Linked DNA regions of Astyanax mexicanus. The protein of the gene in region 2 binds, or shares a complex with, the protein of the main gene of each other region. Links are inferred from orthologs where the notes say so. Each region holds a gene or a part of one and is shown on either strand. Other genes may lie near its edges.

The links. The genes of interacting proteins can lie anywhere in the genome.
Region 1: the proteins of ints9 (region 2) and ints11 are in contact, whole or in part, in a cryo-EM structure (PDB 8RC4), measured with the Homo sapiens proteins. The link is inferred for Astyanax mexicanus from reciprocal best matches to the Homo sapiens genes INTS9 and INTS11. Residues at the interface, in NP_060720.2 of Homo sapiens: Glu127, Gly198, Tyr199, Ser200, Gln201, Lys202, Tyr231, Glu338, Phe339, Ile342, Phe343, Glu345, Gln352, Lys354, Val355, Tyr356, Leu357, Pro358, Glu359, Pro360, Pro361, Arg511, Arg512, Tyr513, Glu514, Lys515, Ile516, Glu517, Ile518, Met519; in NP_060341.2 of Homo sapiens: His94, Gln97, Ala98, His137, Leu138, His139, Gln140, Thr141, Lys274, His277, Tyr278, Lys280, Leu281, Phe282, Ile283, Pro284, Trp285, Arg291, Phe294, Ser449, Pro450, Ser451, Ile452, Pro453, Val454, Gly455, Ile456, Ser457, Leu458, Leu461.

The regions. Positions count from the first base shown.
Region 1 is NC_064420.1:439,269-449,974, reverse strand, and holds the start of ints11 (integrator complex subunit 11), read right to left. Parts: upstream 5,390-10,706; 5' UTR 5,022-5,389; coding exon 4,994-5,021; intron 4,355-4,993; coding exon 4,257-4,354; intron 3,969-4,256; coding exon 3,895-3,968; intron 3,558-3,894; coding exon 3,329-3,557; intron 2,727-3,328; coding exon 2,628-2,726; intron 2,518-2,627; coding exon 2,483-2,517; intron 2,061-2,482; coding exon 1,922-2,060; intron 1,818-1,921; coding exon 1,753-1,817; intron 1,638-1,752; coding exon 1,448-1,637; intron 1,143-1,447; coding exon 1,059-1,142; intron 711-1,058; coding exon 621-710; intron 1-620. Other genes in the region: ceramide-1-phosphate transfer protein, read left to right, coding at 6,902-7,014, 7,827-8,349.
Region 2 is NC_064408.1:84,682,355-84,692,975, forward strand, and holds the start of ints9 (integrator complex subunit 9), read left to right. Parts: upstream 1-6,386; 5' UTR 6,387-6,485; coding exon 6,486-6,494; intron 6,495-6,524; exon of another isoform or gene 6,525-6,736; intron 6,737-7,152; coding exon 7,153-7,280; intron 7,281-7,407; coding exon 7,408-7,468; intron 7,469-7,578; coding exon 7,579-7,641; intron 7,642-8,127; coding exon 8,128-8,267; intron 8,268-8,939; coding exon 8,940-9,026; intron 9,027-9,161; coding exon 9,162-9,282; intron 9,283-9,995; coding exon 9,996-10,130; intron 10,131-10,621. Other genes in the region: kif13bb (kinesin-like protein KIF13B), read right to left, coding at 2,276-2,369, 3,796-3,879, 4,155-4,230. UniProt on the Homo sapiens protein: Component of the integrator complex, a multiprotein complex that terminates RNA polymerase II (Pol II) transcription in the promoter-proximal region of genes.

The DNA.
Region 1 (10,706 bases), on a different chromosome or scaffold from region 2:
ACCTACAAAGAGTGTAGAGTAATCCTTACATTTTTATTGTAGGTTTACTTCAAATGTGAAAGCAGAATCTTAAATGAAAAATCTTCATGTATTTTTAATTAGCGTTTTATTGTGTAAAATAACTATTATATTACTTGATATAATACAAAAACAGAATTTAATATTTGGTACAGACACTCTTTTTGCTTGCAATTACAGAGGTCAGACGTTTCCTGTAGTTCTTGACCAAGTTTGCACAAACCCTCCAGCAGAGTTTTTTTTTACCATCTCGTTCCATACAGATCTTCTTCAGATCTTTTGGGTTTCTGGGATGTTTCACTGAGCAACACTGAGCTTCAACATTGGGTTCAGGTCTGGAGTCAGGCTAGGCCTCTCCAGAACACTGAATTGCTTCTGTTACAGAGCCACACCTTAGTTGCCCTGAATGTGTGTTTTGGGTCATTGTCATGCTGGAAGACCCAGACACAACCCATCTTCAAGTTAATATCAGCATTAACTTAACATCTTTCTGGAGCTGAATTGCTTGTGTTATCAGCAAACTTTGTTTTGGTGGCTGAAATTATTGGTATTGGAATAATTTAAAGCGCTCTGGCGCCCTCTAGTGACGCTGTGTTCTTTACCGTGGCTCTTCCCTCCATCTCCAGCTTCTTCTGGCCGTTCAGGATCTTGTGTCCGACTGTTCCCTGCACGCAGTACCCCGGCATAATCACCTGCAGGAAAACCACACGACACGACGGAGAGTTTCACACCAAACATGGAGCAGGAGACTCCAAGAACTCCAAGAACACAGAAATCTCCTCCTGAGCCCAACATCTCCATAAAACCGCTTAAACACAGACACAGCAACTTTATCCAGACTTTATCCTGCCACTCAGACATTCTATATACAAGTGATTGGGGTGAGGATTGGAAATATGACCATATAATAATAAATATGACCAATAAAAATCACAAAATATATTTTTGCGCTAAAATATTCTTGGATATACAAAAAAATATATATTTTTTAAATTCATTTCAAGAATATCAAGAATGGATTTTAGGTTTGTATTTCTTACCATGTTCTTTTCATTTCCAGCCCATTTCTTGAATATCTGTAAAGACTGTCCAGCGTGCAGCATGCCTGGAGTGGCAAACACCACCTAAACCATAAAAAACAAAAATAAAAATAAAAACCAGAATAAAACAACAGCCACACCAATCTGACCTCTATAACGCTCACACCAGACTACAACTACTATCACAGACCCCTCCCCCCAAATGAGGGTTCTGTATTTAACTGGCAACCCCCCGCCGAAGGTTCTACACAGACCGGGCAACCTATGACTGAATATTCTGAGTAGTGTCAACGCATTGCATCACCAAAATGATGAAACATTTGTTTTGGTTACCTGTGCAAAAGTCTGGTATGACACACTACTGGCTACTGCTACAGAGCGAGGCTTACCATTGGTCCAGGATTGTCTGCGTAGGAGCGGTCGAACGCTTTGATGTGCTTGAACTCGAACATGTTCCTCTGGACGAAGGTCTTGCGGATCTTCTGATTGGTCCAGGTGATGAAGAGCTTGTAGTAGTGGTTTGCTTTCTCCGTCAGTCCAGTGGAGAAATATATGGGGGCTTTTAAGTTCATTCTTTCCCTGATTAAAGGCAAAATAAACATATAAATCAAAACTCAGAACCCTTCAACAGCAACAGACCTATTTCTTCAGCTTAATCTGATTCTTGTTGCCACAATTTTTATTTCAGACTCACCAGAACGTTTCCAAAAGGATGCAAAGCTCCTGAGCTCTTCCCAACGCAAACACTGGAATAAGAACCTGTGATCATATAAACACATTTAAAATATACACAGTGAGTAAAACAGAAAAAAATCAGTTTAAGGTATTTTTATGATGTATTTCCCTAAAGCTTTTGTTCTCACCTTTCCTCCTCTCTCGATGGTTTCGTGGACTTTCTTTAGGAAGTCTCTCTCTCTGCAGCGTTTGGAGTCGCGGATGGTGGTGGCGTAGGTCGACTCAGAGATCAGAATATCCGGACGACATTTATCGATCCACGCCGCCCTGCAGAGAAAGAGCTTCAAATAAACTTCAGCTAAACCTGAACTCTTTAAAAACTGTTCTTAGAATGAATTAAATTAAATACATTATTAAACGGAAAACCATTTATCAAAACATTGACCGGGATGAAGGTACAGAAGAGTGCAAAAGACTGCAAACAATGCAAAACCACCAGGTTATAAAACAGGTTCTTCCCCACAACTATCAGACTCCTCAACCTACCGGACAGGTTCACTTAACTGTAATACTTTAATATTTAGAACTGCACTAATTGAACTGAATCTCATATTGATATCAAATATTACTCTAATCATATTGAAAGACTTTAAAATATTTTTTAAATCCAATTCCGACATCTAAATATTATTAGAAAAACAGTCTGAATAACTAAATATATAAATATAAAAAGGAAAAACAATGCTTACCCTAAGTGTCTGTCTGGGGTCATGTTATAATCCCCCTGTAGGACAAATCACATATATTAAATTATACATGTATTAAAAAAAAGAGTGTATAATATTTCCACATGCTTTTATTGAAGCAGAAAACAGTTATAGTATTATTACTCACAGTATAAACCACAGACTCCGATCCGACTTTAATCAGAACCATCGCCGCCCCCAGAACATGACCGGCGTAGTACGCTTTAATCTCCAGCTCATCGTCCACCTAGAGCACAAAAATAACAACAACACCAGCGGCGTTTCTGTCTTTTACCAAAAACCTCCGGGACATAATCAAGAGAAAATTCTGCTGCTCATTTTAGAAACTTCGCATGAAACAGAGGAAACACACAGCGAGGTAAACAGGCTGAGGTGCTCTAAAGTCTGGATCTACTCACACTCTGAAGAAGCCGTGCCAATTTCATCTAAATCAAATTCATTTATTTACATGTAAATACCCATTAATAACCGAGCTGGCCAACAACGTCCAATAGACGTTCATTTCAGGTTGAATGTTGGTCATGACGCCAAACGACAAATATTTTACGTCAGGATAAAGTCTAACAGTGTTCTGTGCCTGCAGGGAAGCGCTTCATAACCGTGTGCACTGTTTGATATTTGAACTCAAGTAAATAAACAATGCGATAAATATATAGCTTCCTTTAATATACTGAGCAAACAATTATTAACCTTCAAGAAGTGCAGACTAGTACGATGTAAGAATCTTTTTAATGATGCGCAATATTAGTTATAGAAATTATGGGGGGAAAAAATCTTTATTGATTAAAGCGACTTGCCGATTGATGAACAGTGTGTTTAGTTACTCACCTGGACGGTCTGGTGGAGGTTGAGTGGAACCACTTTCTTCATGCAGTCTTTGATCATCTGAGACGTGAAGAAGTTTGTTTCCCCCTTTTTGTCCACAGTGATTTTCCTGAAGTCCTCCAGCAGGATGGGACAGATGGCCTTGGTGGGATGGGTCATGTAGATGGGTCCGTCGTATCCCACCATCTCACTCATGTAGGGCAGAGCGCCGCAGTGGTCCAGGTGGAAATGACTGTGAGAGATCAGCAGCCAATCAGAAATCAGTTCATCAATTCTTTAAAGCAGTGCTGTCAATGTTCTATTTTTTAATGCAGATGCAGAACTTTCAGACCTCAAATAATGCAAAGAAAACAAGTTCATATTCATAAAGTTTTAAGAGTTCAGAAATCATCAATATTTGGTGGAATAACCCTGGTTGGTTTTTAATTACAGTTTCTTTTCATGCATCTTGGCATCATGTTCTCCTCCACCAGTCTTACACACTGCTTTTGGATAACTTTATGCTGCTTTACTCCTGGTGCAAAAATTCAAGCAGTTCAGTTTGGTGGTTTGATGGTTTGTGTTTTTACCTGATAATAACACAGTCCAGAAACTCTGTGAGGCGTCCGTTCTGCGTGATGTAGGAAAAGTCTGGGAAACGTCTCTAAAGAGAAAAAAACAGCAAAAAATAAATGAACTATGGAAAAACCATATCAATTTACTGTAGTAGTCAAAAGTTTGGACACACTTTACATGTTGTGTTTTATCATTACTTTAATTTCCTTTATTGTAGATTAACAATAAACTCATTTAAACTATAAAGAGAAACATCTGGAATTATTTAGTAAACAAAAAAACTTAAACAAACCAGAATATGTTTTATATTTAAGATATAACATTTTCTCAGTCAGCTTTATGTTCAGTTCCAGTAAGTTTCAGTAGCTTAACCTACATCATCATTATAGCCCATGTGCATCCCACAGTCCAGCATTATGTTCTTTCCTCCAATAGAAACCAGGATACAACTGCGCCCAACATCCTGCCCAGCTCCTACACACACACACACACACACACACACACACACACATATTAATACTGAAAACACAGACTTTTTAACTATTATTACAGAATTACTGAGATTATAGGATTCAGAACACGAACTGTATCCTAGTAAATTATACAGTTTCAGCTCTAATCTATCAGTCAATCAATCAATTAATCAAATCAATTATCCTTTATTTTAACTCTGGAGTACATTGAGGGTGACCCTTATTTACATTGCAGCCGAGGATTTACAGTATAAAAGGGATTGAAAACATTATATAAAAAAATTAAAATTTTTAATACATAAAATAAATACACACTTCAAATAAATACATTTAATATAAATGTATAATATATTAATATATACATATAAAAGAGGGAAATCTAAATAAAACGACCATAAAAAATTAACACACAAAAAGTGAAAGCATTTATCAAATTTAAAATAAAGAAATTCATAAAAATAATATAGATAATAGAAATAAAAATAGTAAAAGTAAATGATAAAATAAAATAATGAGTAATAAGTGACAGAGTGATAATAGTAGAAGGTATAATAAAGAACTAAGATCATAATAATCCAAATAAAACCTAAATAAATGAATAAAAAGTAAGAACAATAAACAGTACAGAAACGCAGCTTACCCAGCGGAGTTACTTTAATGTCCGGCATGATGAAGCTTCAGGAGCTTTATGAGCTTTAGGAGATTCTTATAATATTAATATTATTATTGTAGTTCTGGTTTATTTACTGTAACGTTAGTTTATGCTACAGATGAGAAGCTAACCGGCTAACCGGCTAACTAACACACTCTTATACTGAGCTGCTAGTTTACTACATACTGAACGCTTCCAAATTCCCCTCTATATTAAACACCATAAACACAATAAACTACATCTAAATAACTCAAATCACGCTGTTTACAGGCGGATAAACTGATAAAAAACATATAAATTTAATTTAATTCAACATAAATGTCTCAAAACTAAACAGCGGACATGCTGACTGAACCCGATTGGTCCGCTGACCTCCAGCCAATCGTCCGCTTCAAAATTGAGCACGTGATGTAGCAGCCTGCTTGATTGGTGAAAATGCCAAAGGACTTTTAACGTAGGAACAAATATTATTTAAATACATTACATTATACATTATATAAATACATATATTAAATGTCCATATTATAAAAAAATATTAGAATTTAGTCTTAGAATATCGAAAAAGACATGTAATAAACAAACAAACAAATAAGACGTATGATAAAATACAAGATAATTTGTTAAACTAAAGAAAAAAATACAGTTAATGTACATATATTTTATATATTAACTATCATTATTATTAAAATTATGGATAACCTAATAACAAAATAATATCGCTTATTTAATTTTTATTCAACATAAAAGTCCCCAAAAATAAACCACAGCTCAAAACGGCGGAACCCGATTGATGCACTGACCTCCAGCCAATCGCTTGCTTTAAAAGTAAGCACGTAATATAACAGTCTGCTTTGATTGGTGGAACTGCCAGCTCTGGTCTTTAGGTATCCGGAAGAGTGACTAAATACTTAACCGGCTGCGTCCCAAACCAACGCTCCCAGAGGGTGCACACTGCGCAATCTACAACCCGGCTAAATAAAAGTCTTACCAAAAAAACCGTAAGAAAAACTATAAGATAAATTACTATAAAAATCTAATAAAACTTAAAAATATAGTTACTATATAGAAACAAACAAACAAACAAATACGATTTCAAAAGTAAGAGAAAATTTCTTATTATATACATTATATTTTATTTATTATTATATATAAAACACATTATTCATATTTATTTATTTTTTTATTTTACAATATTGTTATTTTTTATTTATTTTTTATTTCGTTTAGCTGTACTTGTTGTAACTTTGGGAAGGAAAGGAATGTAATTCCAATCCTCTGTATGTCCTGTACATATGCAGTATTGACAATAAAACTACTTGACTGTATTATTAAAAATTATCTTGACCATAGTTTCACAAAATAGTTTCACAAAAAAATAGAAAAATAGATAAAGATTAAGAAGTGTTTTACATCGTCACTTTCCGTTCTTGAATGCTCACTTATTTTCTTTTATTGTAAGTGAAAATAAGTATACATTTAGACAAAAGTATTAATTTAAAACAATATATTACAACGCTCAAAATGCTCAAACATGTTTTTTATACGTTTTCAAAAGCAAATAAATTTTAAATTGTATTATTTTAAATGACTTGTTTTTAAAAAAATATCAATAGGTTTTGAGTAAATACAAAATCTACATCTGACTATTTTTTTGTTTCGGTAAGTCCTTTAATCTGACGGGTGGAATTCTGAGCACGTCACTGAGCGCCCTTGGTAGGACACAGGGTGTGATATTGGAGCGCAGCCGGTGAGCAGACCGGGTTAGTAGGTACAGTAGAATCAGATCAGGCTGATAAACTCTGATGTTTTAATCTGTAAAAACTCCTAAAGTTTAATATCCTGAGCTCGTATCTCCACTCAGCTCATCCGCAGCTGGTTTAGTAGCAGATCTGGATCATGGCAGAGTCGTTTAGTTTACAGAATGTATTGGACACCTTTAAATCCAGCCTGAGTGAGAATAAGGAAATATATATCCAGTATTATATAGCAGGGTGGAAGGAGCTGGTCAGGTATGGGACAAACCTCTTTTTTCCCTTATTTCTTTATTCTACAGTCTGTACAGTCAGGATTTTAGAGCTTTATTTAATACTGTATTAAATATAAACTGTTTATATGATCAGTATAATATTAAATAATAAAATACTTATTTACAGCTCTGAAAAAAAATAAGAGACCACTTAAAAATCAGTCCTGAGAAAAGGTTATATATATAAAAAAAAAAATCAAACTTTAAAAAAGGGACAGTGAAATCATGTTAAAGTATGTTTTGCTTTTGTCTTTTACATTTTACAGGAACTTAAACCAGCAAATTTATTAAAAATGAGAGAGAACATAAAAATTATGAGTTTCTATGATTTTATCAAATAAAAAAAAAACTCTGGAATAAAATCAATATAATCAGATGGATGATCACAAGCTGATCATCAAACCACCAAACTGAACTGCTTGAAATAATTTTTGCACCAGGAGTAAAGCAGCATAAAGTTATTCTATTACAACATGTAGTCCAGCAGCCCCAGACCATCACACTACCACCACCATGTTTTACGTTTAATATGATGCTGCTCTTTTTATGAAATGATGTGTTGGTGTTTTAAAGTGTTAGTGTATGTGTTTTAAACTTTTCTCATTTTTTTCCTTAGTACACAAATTCATAATTTATTATCATCATTGCTTTTTATATTTACTCAGGTTATGTTTGATATTTGTCTGATATTAAAGTTTGTTTGATAATCTGTTGATTATCTAAGTATGTAAGTAAGAAATCTGCACTGTAAATCAGTAATAAAATGTAATAATTCGTCTCCTCTCCTCCCTCCAGCTTCATGAACAGTCTGGGAACCGTGTTCTCCTTCATCTCTAAGGACGCGGTGAATAAAATCCAGATTCTGGAGAATCTCCAGGCCGGCGAGTCCGGCTCTCACTACCTCACGGTGCAGTCGATGGTGAAGTATGAGCTGGAGAACGAGCTGGTGGACCTGACCAAGAGGAGCAGTCACCCGGAGTCGGGCTGCCGGACGCTCCTGCGTCTGCACCGCGCTCTGCTCTGGCTGGAGCTGTTCCTGGAGCGTCTGCGCACCAGCACCGAGGAGAGCAAGACCTCCGTCATGTGCTCGGACGCCTACAACGAGTCTCTGGCTCAGCACCACGCCTGGATCATCAGGAAGGCGACGGGCGTGGCTTTCTGCGCCCTGCCCGGCCGGGACTCCTTCTTCCAGGTGATGAACGCAGGCAGTGAGCAGGAGGTGGTCGCCCTGCTGGGAGAAGCTTTAGCCCTGATCTCAGAGGTGCATCAGATCACAGAGGACCTGTACGCCCAGAACAACCTGCTGGAGCTGCCCTAGATATAGCAGAAGACGCAGCAGTAGATGATATACAGTAGTTTGGACACACCTTCTCTTTTTCAGTGCGTTTTCTTTATCTTCAGGACTATTTACATTGTAGATTCTCACTGAAGCATCAAAACTATGAATGAACACATGTGGAGTTTTATGTACTTAATAAAAAATGAGCTGAACCTCCACAGTCACCGGACCTGAACCCAATCCAGATCCAGGTTTGGGGTGAGCTGGAGCACAGAGTGAAGAAGACAAAGGAGCAACAAGTGCTAATAAACACCTCTGGGAACTCCTTCCTTCCTTCAAGACTGTTGGAAAACTTTTCATTTCAGGTGGCCACCTCTTAAATGAAGCTCATTGAGAGAATGATGCCAAGAGTGTGTAAAGCAGTAACCAGAGCAAAGGGGGGCTTTTATTTTGAAGAAACTAGAAAAACTATAAAACATGTTTTTTTAGTTATTTTCACCTTTTTTATTAAGAACATAAAACTCCACATGTGTTCATTCATAGTTTTGATGCTTCAGTGAGAATCTACAATGTAAATAATCATGAAAATAAAGAAAACGCATTGAAAAAGAGAAGCTGTGTCCAAACTTTTGGCCTGAACTGTAGTAGATAGTGTAGTAAAATGACTGTGTGGAATGATGCTGGTTTTATTTGGCGCTACTACTGAGATCTTGGATCTCATCTCATATCGTATAATGACTATATTAGGCTGTTATCACTTTATACACTTATCTCTCTTTCTTTTTGACCAAACACATGGTTTCATGGCGACGGTCAACTAAATGCTAAAACTCAATACCAACAGTTTTTCAATAATCATACAGCTCTGGAAAAAAAATAAGAGAGCACTTAAAAATGATGAGTTTCTCTGATTTTACCAAATTAAAAACCTCTGAAATATAATCAAGAGGAAGATGGATGATCACAAACCATCAAACCACCAAACTGAACTGCTTGAATACATTTTTGCACCAGGAGTAAAGCAGCATAAAGTTATCCAAAAGCAGTGTGTAAGACTGGTGGAGGAGAACATGATACCAAGATGCATGAAAACTGTGATTAAAAACCAGATTTATTCCACCCAATATTGATTTCACCAAATATTGATTGAGGTCTAAAAGCTCTGCATCTTTTTTTTCTTTTTCTGCAAATAAATGCTTTCAATTACAAAATTTATTTTATTTGGAATTTGGGAGAAATGTTGTCCATAGTTTTTAAAATAAAACAAAAATGTTAATTTTACTCAAACATTCAGAAACTGATGTGCTCTCTCCATTTTTTTATCCAGAGCTGTATAGATATATAGTTTGAGTAAACAGCGTGAAAGACTACAGCAGCAGTAAAACTGTACCAATAGAAATGCTTTTGAATGCAGTTGAATTCCATTGAAAGCTAGGGAGGTTCTTTTGGGCTTCCAGTGGCTCAGCAGCCAGAGTCCGAGCGAGCACAATGCTTGGTCGTGCTCTCTCTCTCTGGGGGGATAGGTGGCGCTCTCTCCCCTCATTTCTCTCATGACAGAGACCATATGCAGGCCTGCAAATCCACTCAGGCCTCTTTTTAATGTAAATTAGTACGAATGACCAAAATTGAATGTTTAAGGCAAATCTACTGTATGTACTGTATTTATATATGATTAAAAGGGACAAATTTAATGCAGTGTATATAATAATCTGCTGAGTTTAATAAGCCATGATGACCATAGCCAGGATGTATTACAATACTATATAATATATGTATGTATATGTAATGTTTTTGAATGTTTAAGGTTAATGGTCTGAATTATATTAAATTATTGTATAATTATAGTTTTTCCAATTTTACACAGTATTTGCAGGACATGTTTTTATTATAAACTTGGATGTAATACTGCACAAATTATTACAGTCTGACCTCTGTGTGTATTTTATTTTTCGGCATGTAAATAAGACTTGAAAACATTAAGGGGATGGGTATGTGGACTTTTGCACTACATTGCTGACGGAAAATAAAATAAAGTGGGCATAAAATTGATCCATTAAGTGTTTTTTTTTTATTGTTTTTACAAACTGAAACTGAACTCGAGGAAAAGAACATAAGATTTTACTTGACTTGTTAAGGGTTGTGATTCTTTTAGCCATTGTATCTGCTATTCAGAAATACCTGTAAAACTAAACTGTGTCTTCAGTCCAGTTTAGTCCAATATTTTTTTTTATATATAATTATTTTTATATTAAGAAAGTGGTTAATCAGAAAACAACAAAACACTATTAATATATACTTGAAAATAAAATAAAAAAAATCATATATTCATATTTTTTTAAATATATATATTTTAAATCAAACATTTTTACAAAACTCTTGTAGAACATTGTTTTAAA
Region 2 (10,621 bases):
AATAAACACTTAAAATAGTTTACTCTGTGTATAATACATCTATATTATATGAGTTTCACATTTTTAGCTGAATTACTGAAATAACTTCCAATGATATTCTAATTGTTAAAGATGCACCTGTAATAGTGTTTTCTCAGATAATATTATTTGATCTAATTCTATTTCTCAGAGATTTTGCATCTATAAGATGGTCTGCATGATATACTATTTTAATGCAAACAAATTAAGCATTCAAATGGTTCTTTAAGATGTTGTGGATGTAAAAATAAACATTGGCTTTACTTAAGAATTTTTTTTTTGGGAATGTGCCATCCAGTACGTTTGGCGGCAGTCCATTTTATAGCTTTTATAGTTAAGTTTATAATAAGTCTAACTGACAGACAGGTGAAGGGGATCATTTTAGCTGGCAGGGAGGGAGAAAGACATGCTTAATCAACGACATACGAACTGCTGGTGAAAGACAAAGTTTCTGTTCCAAAGCTAACAATCCAGCCATTGTGCAGCAATAGCAACACAAGCTCTGCTTCAGCAGTGATCAAACACAGCTATCATATGTCATTAACACTGAACTGAGGCCCTACACACTGCTGCCATACAGCCAAACAGGGAACAAGACAAAAGCTAAAGTGATAGCAAAATGTCCCAAACATGGACGATGAGCAAAGACTTGTGTTTGTGTACGAAGTTTAATTCTGTCATTTTGCTCTGGAGCTACAAAGGCTAATGCAACTAACAAGTCTGCATGTCTCAGTTTTGTACATGTTTTTGTGGGTAACAGCAGTATTGATTAGATATACATCCAGTACATATCTGGTATACACAACACGTCTTAATGATAATTAATACATTCAGCTACTTCAAGTTGCACCCATTGCTGACAATGATGTGCAAATGCACAGGCAAAGCTATAGAGAAATACTGCCCATAGAAAAAGACTCACTGAAGCAGATAAACATGGAACTACATGGAATACATACATATACACATTAGAGGTGGGTAATATGATGATATTTGATATGATGATTATCCTATCATTAGTGCTTAAAGTACACTGACCTAACTGTGTATTTCATTAGTATATTTCATTAGAAAGAGTGTCCCTTAGTCCTGACTAACTAAATGGCAATTACTGTGGAGAGGGAGAATATTTGAATAGAAATTTTAAAAAGTCTGCTACTGCTATATATATATATACAAACACCCTATGATGGACTGGTGTTCTGGCCAGTGGGTACTCATGCATTGCACCCAATGATTCCAGGTGGGGTCCTGACCTAATTTGATCCTGACCAGGTCAAAGCGTGATTCAAAAAAAGATGTATGAATAGATGAATTGGGATATATTTATATATATTTTTACACTACTGTGCAAAAGGTTTAGGCAACATTCAAAAATAGATTAAAATAACTTAACACTAATATTACAATAAATACCAATAACACTGTAAAAGTAGTGATTATACATCAATGTGTTCATTAAAGCATCTGCAAAGCTTTCTTTCTTGTGAGTCCGATCTAGTATAACTGGTGATGTAACTGAAACACCCACATGCTGACTGAGCTGACGTTATGGAGAAATCTGAAACCAAACTTTGTATTTTTAACTAGCTCACAAGCTCTCAACTTCTTTCTTTTTCAGCTGAAAAAAAATGTTCTTACTTTTTTTTTTTTTACTGTATTTATGTTTACTGGCATCTGTGTTAATGTAATCTAGAGAATTTGGTGGCTAAATGCTAACCTCAAGAGACTGGGTTGTCCTGCCAAATGGGACTAATGATACCTTAAATCAGACAGAAGGAGCTGAGGGGGCACTGCTACACAACAGTGAGTCATACAGAGTCAGAACCACAAAAACAATCTACTACATTACTGAATAACTCCACACACATTAAAGCGAGTGTCTTATAATGTAGGCATGCAGTTTATGAGCTATGCAAGCATTCTGCTTGTTAGCAACAATATTCTCTTAGCTCCAGTGCTCAAACCAAGCCATTTTTTCTATCACAAGTATCCAGTTAGGTCTGGCCTTGTAGTGACCTTCCACTGGTTGCTATGACATCTGAAGGCCAAAAAGGAAAAATCTGGGCAAGCAGTGGGACGAAGTGTGAAGCCCCGATAAATTCCAGACCACAGACAGCATGGAGCCAAGCAGAGGAAGGCTTAGATAGATAATAAGGCAAAATATTCCAACTTTTCAGCCAAATACCTACATTGTTTTGTGCATACAATGTTGCAACATGTACACACTTATATACAAGTACACACACTCTCTTACCTACTGTCTCCCTTTCCGAGGTTGCTGCTGGCTGGTTGCAGCACTGTCTGATTCCCCTCCATTTCCACCACACATTTTGTCTTCAGGTCCTTCTCTGGGAAAAGGCAGCATAAAAAACAGACGCACTGAATAAACACTGATAATACACAAACTGATAACACACAGAGAGGAACAGAATGAGGCAAGACAAATGTCTGGATAGTCATGTCAAAATCCCTTTTACACTAAAACACAAGACATTTGAGTACTTTTACAGGTAGTGCTCAGTCTACGTGACCATCACATCTCTTCGGAATCACACACAAAAAAACACCTGCCTCTTCTTTCCCAAAATAAAACCATTAATTCCAATGTTAAACTAAATCATGGTAAAATCCACTTTGCATTTGCTATGTTTCTCTTACCTTTGCTGTAGTTTCTGATATTGTATCAGCTTCTGTTTACACATGAGTTTCTCAGGAACTGTACTGAAACTCCAGCAGGTAATCTGCAATGTCAGCTTCATTTTGACTCCAGGCCATCTTACTAACTTCTTCCCATTTAAACTCCCAATACGTTTCCAAGTAAAAGTGTGTGTAAAAGGAGTTGCGGACAGTAATAAACCGCATTATCAACTGTGATTAATTATTTATTATTTTAGAAAATGTAAATCTCACATACTGGTAGAAATGATGTAATGATTAAGTACTATCTATATTTCTCTCTTAGAAGTAAACAGGCCATATTTTATTTTTGGGCTCTAAGACATTTATGCAAATGTGAATTTAAAAACTGTCAGGGCTACTAATTACAGTCTAACTGGGTTGGGCTAAAATGCTGTAGGCTATATAGGTGGAAGGTTTTGAGAGAAAAAGTTTAAATCAGCTTAGTGTTCATATATGAATAATGTGGATTTAAAAGAAGATATATTCAGGATACTATCACACCTTGAAAAGCTAGTTTACAGTCCTAACAATTAAGCAGGAAAACGTCCAGCTTGACCATCCAAGCTGACAGGAAAGCACAAAAAAAAACACTTTCATTTTCGGAAGCGCTGCAGTGTGACCCTATTCACAGGTTATTCCTAGGCCCGTAATCAAACTTAACTGTATCAGACTTGACAAAGGTGGGAAAGAATGTCCATTTAGTTAATTATATGTACATGAAAACAAGTTTTACGAGTTTGTATTTTATGTAACACTGTTGCTTTCTTTTCATTTGTGTTTTTCTATAGTTCTTGGTATTTCCTTTTTTATTTTACACATAACATAAGAACATAGATTTTCAGTCTGTAGATGAATGCTGGATTGCCTCAGAAACTACTGAACACCGGTTCATAAGTTATTCACTTGTAGATAATATTAAAGACATCAAAACTATGAAGAAATGCATATATGCAATTATGAAGATAACAAAATAAGTTCTTTGCTAACATATGTTTTGTCAGCTGTTTGTGAAGACCGAAAACTTGTGAAGAATATTAATATGTATTTTAATCTATAAGGATATTACATATATATACAAAGTCATAAAGGCCTTACCTCTTCTGTTCAAGGGTCTGACTCGAACAGCCACCTTCACATTTGAACCATTCACACTAGAGTCATCCATGGTTTTGTTATTGCCTAAAACAGTGGACAAAACAGTTTATTATTTAACATCAGGCTCTACAAATGACAGTACAGAACTATTACATTTATAAAGCTGTTTTTAATTCTGACTAGAATTCCCAGTTCCACCTTAAATGAAGCAGGAGTTTTACAGTAGTAAAGCCCGTGCTCGTTCCGTCTCTAGCATGTAACTGCTGCAGAATTTAAGGTGGAAGTGTAAAAGTTTAATAAAAAGCTAGAGAATTAGGAGTCAGATTAATTGTGGTGAATAAAAGCGACTTCACACTTACTTTCTCTCTGATTACTCCACACGGACTGAACTGCTGAACGCGTTTCCTGCCATAGTCTACTGTCCTCTCGTATCATGAAGCAGGATTAGGGAGTCTTTCTCCATTATTACAGCTCATGTAAACAGTTGTCAGAGTAAACTCACACCTCCGATTATCCTGGAGTTCCTCATTCCTTCACGAGCAGTGAAAAACACAATAAACGCGTAAATAAAGAGAGAGAGACCGATTTAGCTCCTTCTGTTAGCCAGCTTAGTTGGCTGTCATCCAGACAGGAAAAATCACAACAACAAACTCACTAATTTGTCCTTACGCGACTTTTACACAGGCTGTTTAAAACGTTAACGAAATCAATCTTAGTCTACACTGTCTTTAAATGTCTTTAAAGTGTGAGAGACTTCCACCTGTTTCCTCTCCAGCTTCTTCTCGCCATTTACTCCCACGGAGCTCCTGCGGACTCGAGCAGGTGGAAGAGGAGGATTAGCAACCGGACAGGAGTTTCTGAGAAAACCACGCCCACTCCATGGCCACGCCCCACATGACACGCCCCCTCCGCTGGTACCTGTAGATTTTACTTTTGAGCTTTTAAACTATGTGCTGCTGTATGTTAAATTTAAATAGAAAATATATGGGAAAGTGAAGAATTAGGAATAAATACATTTTGGATTTTTCAGAGCAACACCCTTCTGTAATTTCTGCCTCCCCTTTAAGATAAAGGAGAGTCTAACTTAATATTTCAGTCACTAATTCTTCTGTAGCAAAATATAATTGATTCCACTTATACAACATTTCTGCAGAAGATCAGAGGCTGTAGCCTCTAAATATTAATTATTAATTATTTAACATATTTCTATTATAAATAGTTTATTGTATATGATAATATATTATACTAACTATGTATGAATATATATAATCAATATTATAAAGACTTTTGCACATAGAATGTATTCTATGTGCATCAAATGTATTCAAAAACCAACACATTGCAGGACACGTTATATTGCTGATAAGTTTATTATTTTATATACTAGTAGTAATACTATAAGAACAACCATCTTACAAATACTACTACTACTCCTGCTACTACTACTACTACTAATAATAATAATACATACATACGTACATGTAAAATATTTTTTCATGCAAGTAACAGCTAAAAGTGGTATACAGACAATATTACTCTTCAATAACCACATTAAAGTTTGTTCTTTTGATTCATTGTTTAAATATTTATTAAAAAATGCTCATTGTAGAATAAATAAAAATACACAAATACACAAATACACATATACACATCGTACGTGTATGAGCTTGGCCATTTTAGTGCTCTGCTATGTAATTATTCTTTATTAAAGTAAATCACGTGTGCCAGAGTGAGTTTTACAGGTGAATATGCTCATTGCTAAGATTTGGAAATTTCTTGCCTAAGCAATTGAAAGGATATGTCAGAAACAATAAAAATTATTGCAATAAAATGAAAAAGGAAAATGCCACAGAATTTGTTTGGAGAGCATATAATTTTATTTTATGTTTTAGATAAATATATATCAGTATCAAGTATTTTTTTTATTAACATTTAATAAATCCCTTTTACAGTTCACAGTTTACATCATTTGTGGGTTAGGATCAGTTATGTGTATAATATGTATATTATATATTTTATATTTAATATAATAAAAATAATAATAATGCTATATGCACTTAAAGGTTTCTTGGGAATAATATCAAGAGGTAGATGGATGATCACAAGCCATCAAACCAAGCTAAACTGGTTGAAATGTTGCACCAGGAGTGGCATAAAGTTATCCAAAAGCAGTGTGTAAGACTGGTGGAGGAGAACATGCCAAGATGCATGAAAACTGTGATTAAAAACCAGGGTTATTCCACTAAATACTGATTTCTGAACTCTTCTGAAAACTTTATAAATATGAACTTGTTTTCTTTGCATTATTTGAGGTCTGAAAGCTCTGCATCATTTTGTTAATATCAGGCATTTCTTATTTCTAAATGACAATATTTTTTTTGGGAATTTGGGAGAAATGTTGTCCGTAGTTTATATAATAAAACAACATTGTTCATTTTACTCAAACATATACCTATAAATAGCAAAATCAGAGAAACTGATTCAGAAACTGAAGTGGTTTTCCAGAGCTGTATTGTGGATCTGAAGCTCTCCTAAAGCAGTAATAATGTGGTAATTCTCCTCCTGGGCGCTCGGGGGCGGTGTGGGTCTCTCAGTCTGATTCTCTCCTCCACACCGCTAGACTGCAGCCTGATGAGAAACCGAGTCCAGTGTAAACAGCGCCTGATAGAAACTATCCCCGCATCACAAACATGAAGCTGGTGAGTGTTTTATAACCCAGACACTGACCTACTGACTGTACACACCTCTGAACACACGCAGACCTCAGCATGGCTGATGATGCTGCTCCACAATAATGTAGACTAAAGATGGTAGAATTTTCCGCGCTACCTTCAATCTGTGGAAGTTATCTCCGCGCGCCCGCTGCACCGTTTACTCAAACAGCGAGGCATTTAAGGTGGAACGGGAAATTCGAAGACAACACAACCTCGTGAATAGTAGGGTTAGTGTACTAGAATTCACATTGGTATGTTTAAAAAACTCAGTCTTTATTTGTATCATTAAATACCCAGTTGTTAATGAATTCACGTAAATGCATGTAAAAGTATATTATCTTTCTAAAAGTCTTTCGACTATATTTTGGAGCATTGCTGTGAGGATTTGATTGTATTTAGTGACAAGAGCCTGAATGAATCCAGGACCACCCCGCCCTAACTCATCCCCAGCTCATCCTAAAAGTACTGGATGGAGCTCCGTACATTTACTATACATCCACATGATATACAGTAACTAAACCAAGTGACCGTCTTCAAAACTCTCGAGTGCCCATTGTTGCCGGTGGACAGGGCTTAGCATTCAGATTCTCATTAAATTAATTCTGTACATTAGCCTAACTAAGATTACATCTTTCTTTTCCAGTATTGTTTATCTGGTCATCCAACGCTGCCTTGCAATGTCCTCAAGTTTAAATCAACCACAATCATGTTGGACTGTGGTCTGGACACCTCATCTGCTCTGTATTTTCTCCCTCTGCCGTTGGTACACAGGTGTGTCATCGTATCACTTCAGATTCACCTGAACCTTTTTATATCTAGTGTTGTGATGAATATAACCTTTGTAATAGGGTGATGATGATTTGTTGCTGAGTTTATTTATGTTCTTAACACATTTCAGTCCAAGACTGTCTAAACTCCCAGGCTGGGTCTCTAAGGACGGTACAGTGAATCTTGAGAAAGTAAGTATAATTTTTTACTCTTAATACATTAGTGCAGGGATGAATGTATGCATATTCAGTGTAATATGATACTTTACTTAACTGAATGTGCTCTCTGTTCTTGGTTAAAGGAGCTCAAGGAATGCGCTGGTCGTGTTTTTGTGGACACACAGCCCGAGTTTTGTCTACCTGAGGTGTGTGTTTGTATCCTGAAATATTGGTCTTTGGGGGGATTGTGGAGAACATTTTTTTGTTTACTACATCATTTCATGTGTCCATTAACCTGTTTTTGTATTTAATATTAATCTACAATGTAAAGAAAATAATTAAATAAAGAAAACCACTAAATGAGAATGTGTGTTAAAACCTTTGACTGGTACTGTGCCTTTTAAACAAGAAAATATTTAGTGCTTATTCTTGTATTTTACGCACTGATTGTACTCACATTTCAGGGCACTATTTATTCAAATTGTCTAAAATAGATTTCTTTGGGCTTCCTGGTACACTTAATATGTTTATACTGACGTGCACAATTGGTAGAACTGATTTTTATTTTTTATTTTTGGAATATATTAATTAAATGTTGCATCTTTTACATTCTGAATTATTTAAAGTTTGTAAAAAATGTGTCTATGGTGCCTAAACCTTTTCATGCTGGATGTGTGTTTTTGTTTTTGTAGCGAGAGCTGCTGGACTTGTCCACTGTTGATGTTATATTAATCTCTAACTACCACTGCATGATGGCCCTGCCCTACATCACTGAACACACAGGTTTCTCAGGAACAGTCTACGCCACTGAACCCACCTTTCAGATTGGCAGGTAGCCTGTTTATCAGTTCTGTATATATACTGTATTTTTCACACTGTAAGATGCACTTAAAAACCTTTAATTTTCCCAAAAATCGCAAAGTGTTGCCAACCGTGTCTAGCGCTTCTGTAAATTGCACTGTTGAAAATATTGGACATCTAAGCCTACTGTAAATAACAGAAATGCTTTACTTAACCAAATATATCATTTTAAGGAGAGAAATCTGTGTAGATTAACAACATGGCAACACCCTTGATCCTAACTATTGTCATTTAAAATGAGCCTTATAATCCGGTGCGCCTTATGTATGAAAATAGATCAAAAGACATTTATTATAATATGGTGCACATAATAGTTTTATTTTTCAGCTTTAACACTTGTAGAGGGTTGCAAAATATCTGATGGATGGAAGTCATATAGGTAAAAGGAGAGCAAGGGCTTCTGTTAATTAATTGATTACTAATTAATAATAATAATAATAGTATAATAAGAATAATAGTAATAATGATAAACCTCAATTTTCATACATTAAGGCAGCTGAAGGAACTAAATGGTTCACAACATCAGCTAATATAAACATTAATCAACAAATAATCAATAAAAGCAGCAAAAGATAAAAGTTTATGAACATGAAAAAGGTAGAAAAAAAATGTATATAAACAAATGTTTTGTTTATATCCTCAGACTGTTGATGGAGGAGCTGGTCACTTTTATGGAGAGAGTTCCAAAGGCTCAGTCTGCCACCTGTTGGAAGAACAAGGAAATACAAAGGTCAGGAAGCAGTGGGACTTCATACATAGTCATAAACAGTGTTAGTTGCATGTGTGCATTAACAATATTCACACTGTTTTACATTGTTGAGTGTTTTTGTTTTAGTAGCTTTAAGAGTGATGTTTTTGTTTTTAGGATGCTTCCTGGGCCGTTAAAGGATGCAGTAGATGTGTGGTCGTGGAAAAGGTGCTACAGCATGCAGGAGGTGAACTCTGCTCTCAGTAAAGTGCAGCTAGTGGGCTACTCTCAGAAAGTGGTATGTCTCCATTTCTATTTAGACTTGTGATGCTAGGACTGTAGAGTAAATAAAACCTCATGTTCCTGTACCATTTCTGTATCTTTTCTTGGGAACACTGGAGATGTGACACTTTAATTTCAATTCAGTGTACAGATTGTGCTCTCAAAATAACTCCCCACAAAGCCATTAATGTCTAAACTGCTGGGAACAAAGGTGAGAATTACATTTCATTTTCCTTTAAAATGGTGTAATAGTATTATTATGCTAGTTTATTATTCTAATAGTAATGGCTTTTAATGCTCTGTAAATTACTATAATGTCATTTAGCACATTTATTTCTGCTGTAATATTAATGCTTGGCAAAAACAGGGACTGTGACAGGTCTAGGCATCTTATCATCAGGAGTCAGTGTCTGACAACAAATCAGAAAGTAGTCGTGACACTGAAAAAACTGTGTAAAAACTTTGTTGCACTTATACCAACAATACACACACACACACATACTACTGTGATACCATTGTCACTACGATGTTACAGTCACTGCTGTGCTAGAAGTGGACCAACACCATATAATATCTGGAAAGTAGTGTTTTTGCTTAGAAACTGATCCGTAATGATAAATGGGATGGAGGAGGCTTCAACAGATGGGATGTAATATCTCTTTCTCTTTCCCTTACTCTCTCTCTTTCTCTCTCTTCTCCTCTCTCTCTCTTCCCCTCCCTGTACTGTAGGAGCTGTTTGGTGCAGTGCAGGTCACTCCTCTCAGCTCTGGTTATTCACTGGGCAGTTCTAACTGGATCATCCAGTCGCACTATGAAAAAGTGTCCTATGTGTCTGGATCATCTCTGCTGACCACACACCCTCAGGTCAGCTAACTTGCATTGTTCAACACATCCTTCTGGTTTATTCTAAAACCATTAGTGGTTTTCTCATGTAGAACAAAATAACTATTTAATAAACACAATACTAATAACTAAAACTAGAAATGCGGAACATGTTTAATGTAATCTTTTGTTTAATTCCTCTATCAGTAAGTTGCTCTTATAATATCCAAAACATACCATAGAGATGTCAATGCCTTGCCAGTGTGTTGCATGTACAGTCACTGTGTGTTTGTGTTACTATGGTGTTTATTAACTTCAGTGTTTAAGGTGGAATTGATGATATCCCATTAGTTATTGCGGCTTTACTTTTTACCAGATAGAATCATGATATCGTCCTAAAATCATATGGCCAATGTTAAGAATCATAGTAACATACATTAGGCCCAATCCCATTCCTCTTCTGTACCCTTACCCTTTTTTATGAGTGTAACCCTGCCTCTTGGGACAGCATTACAAGCAGAAGGGGTGAAATC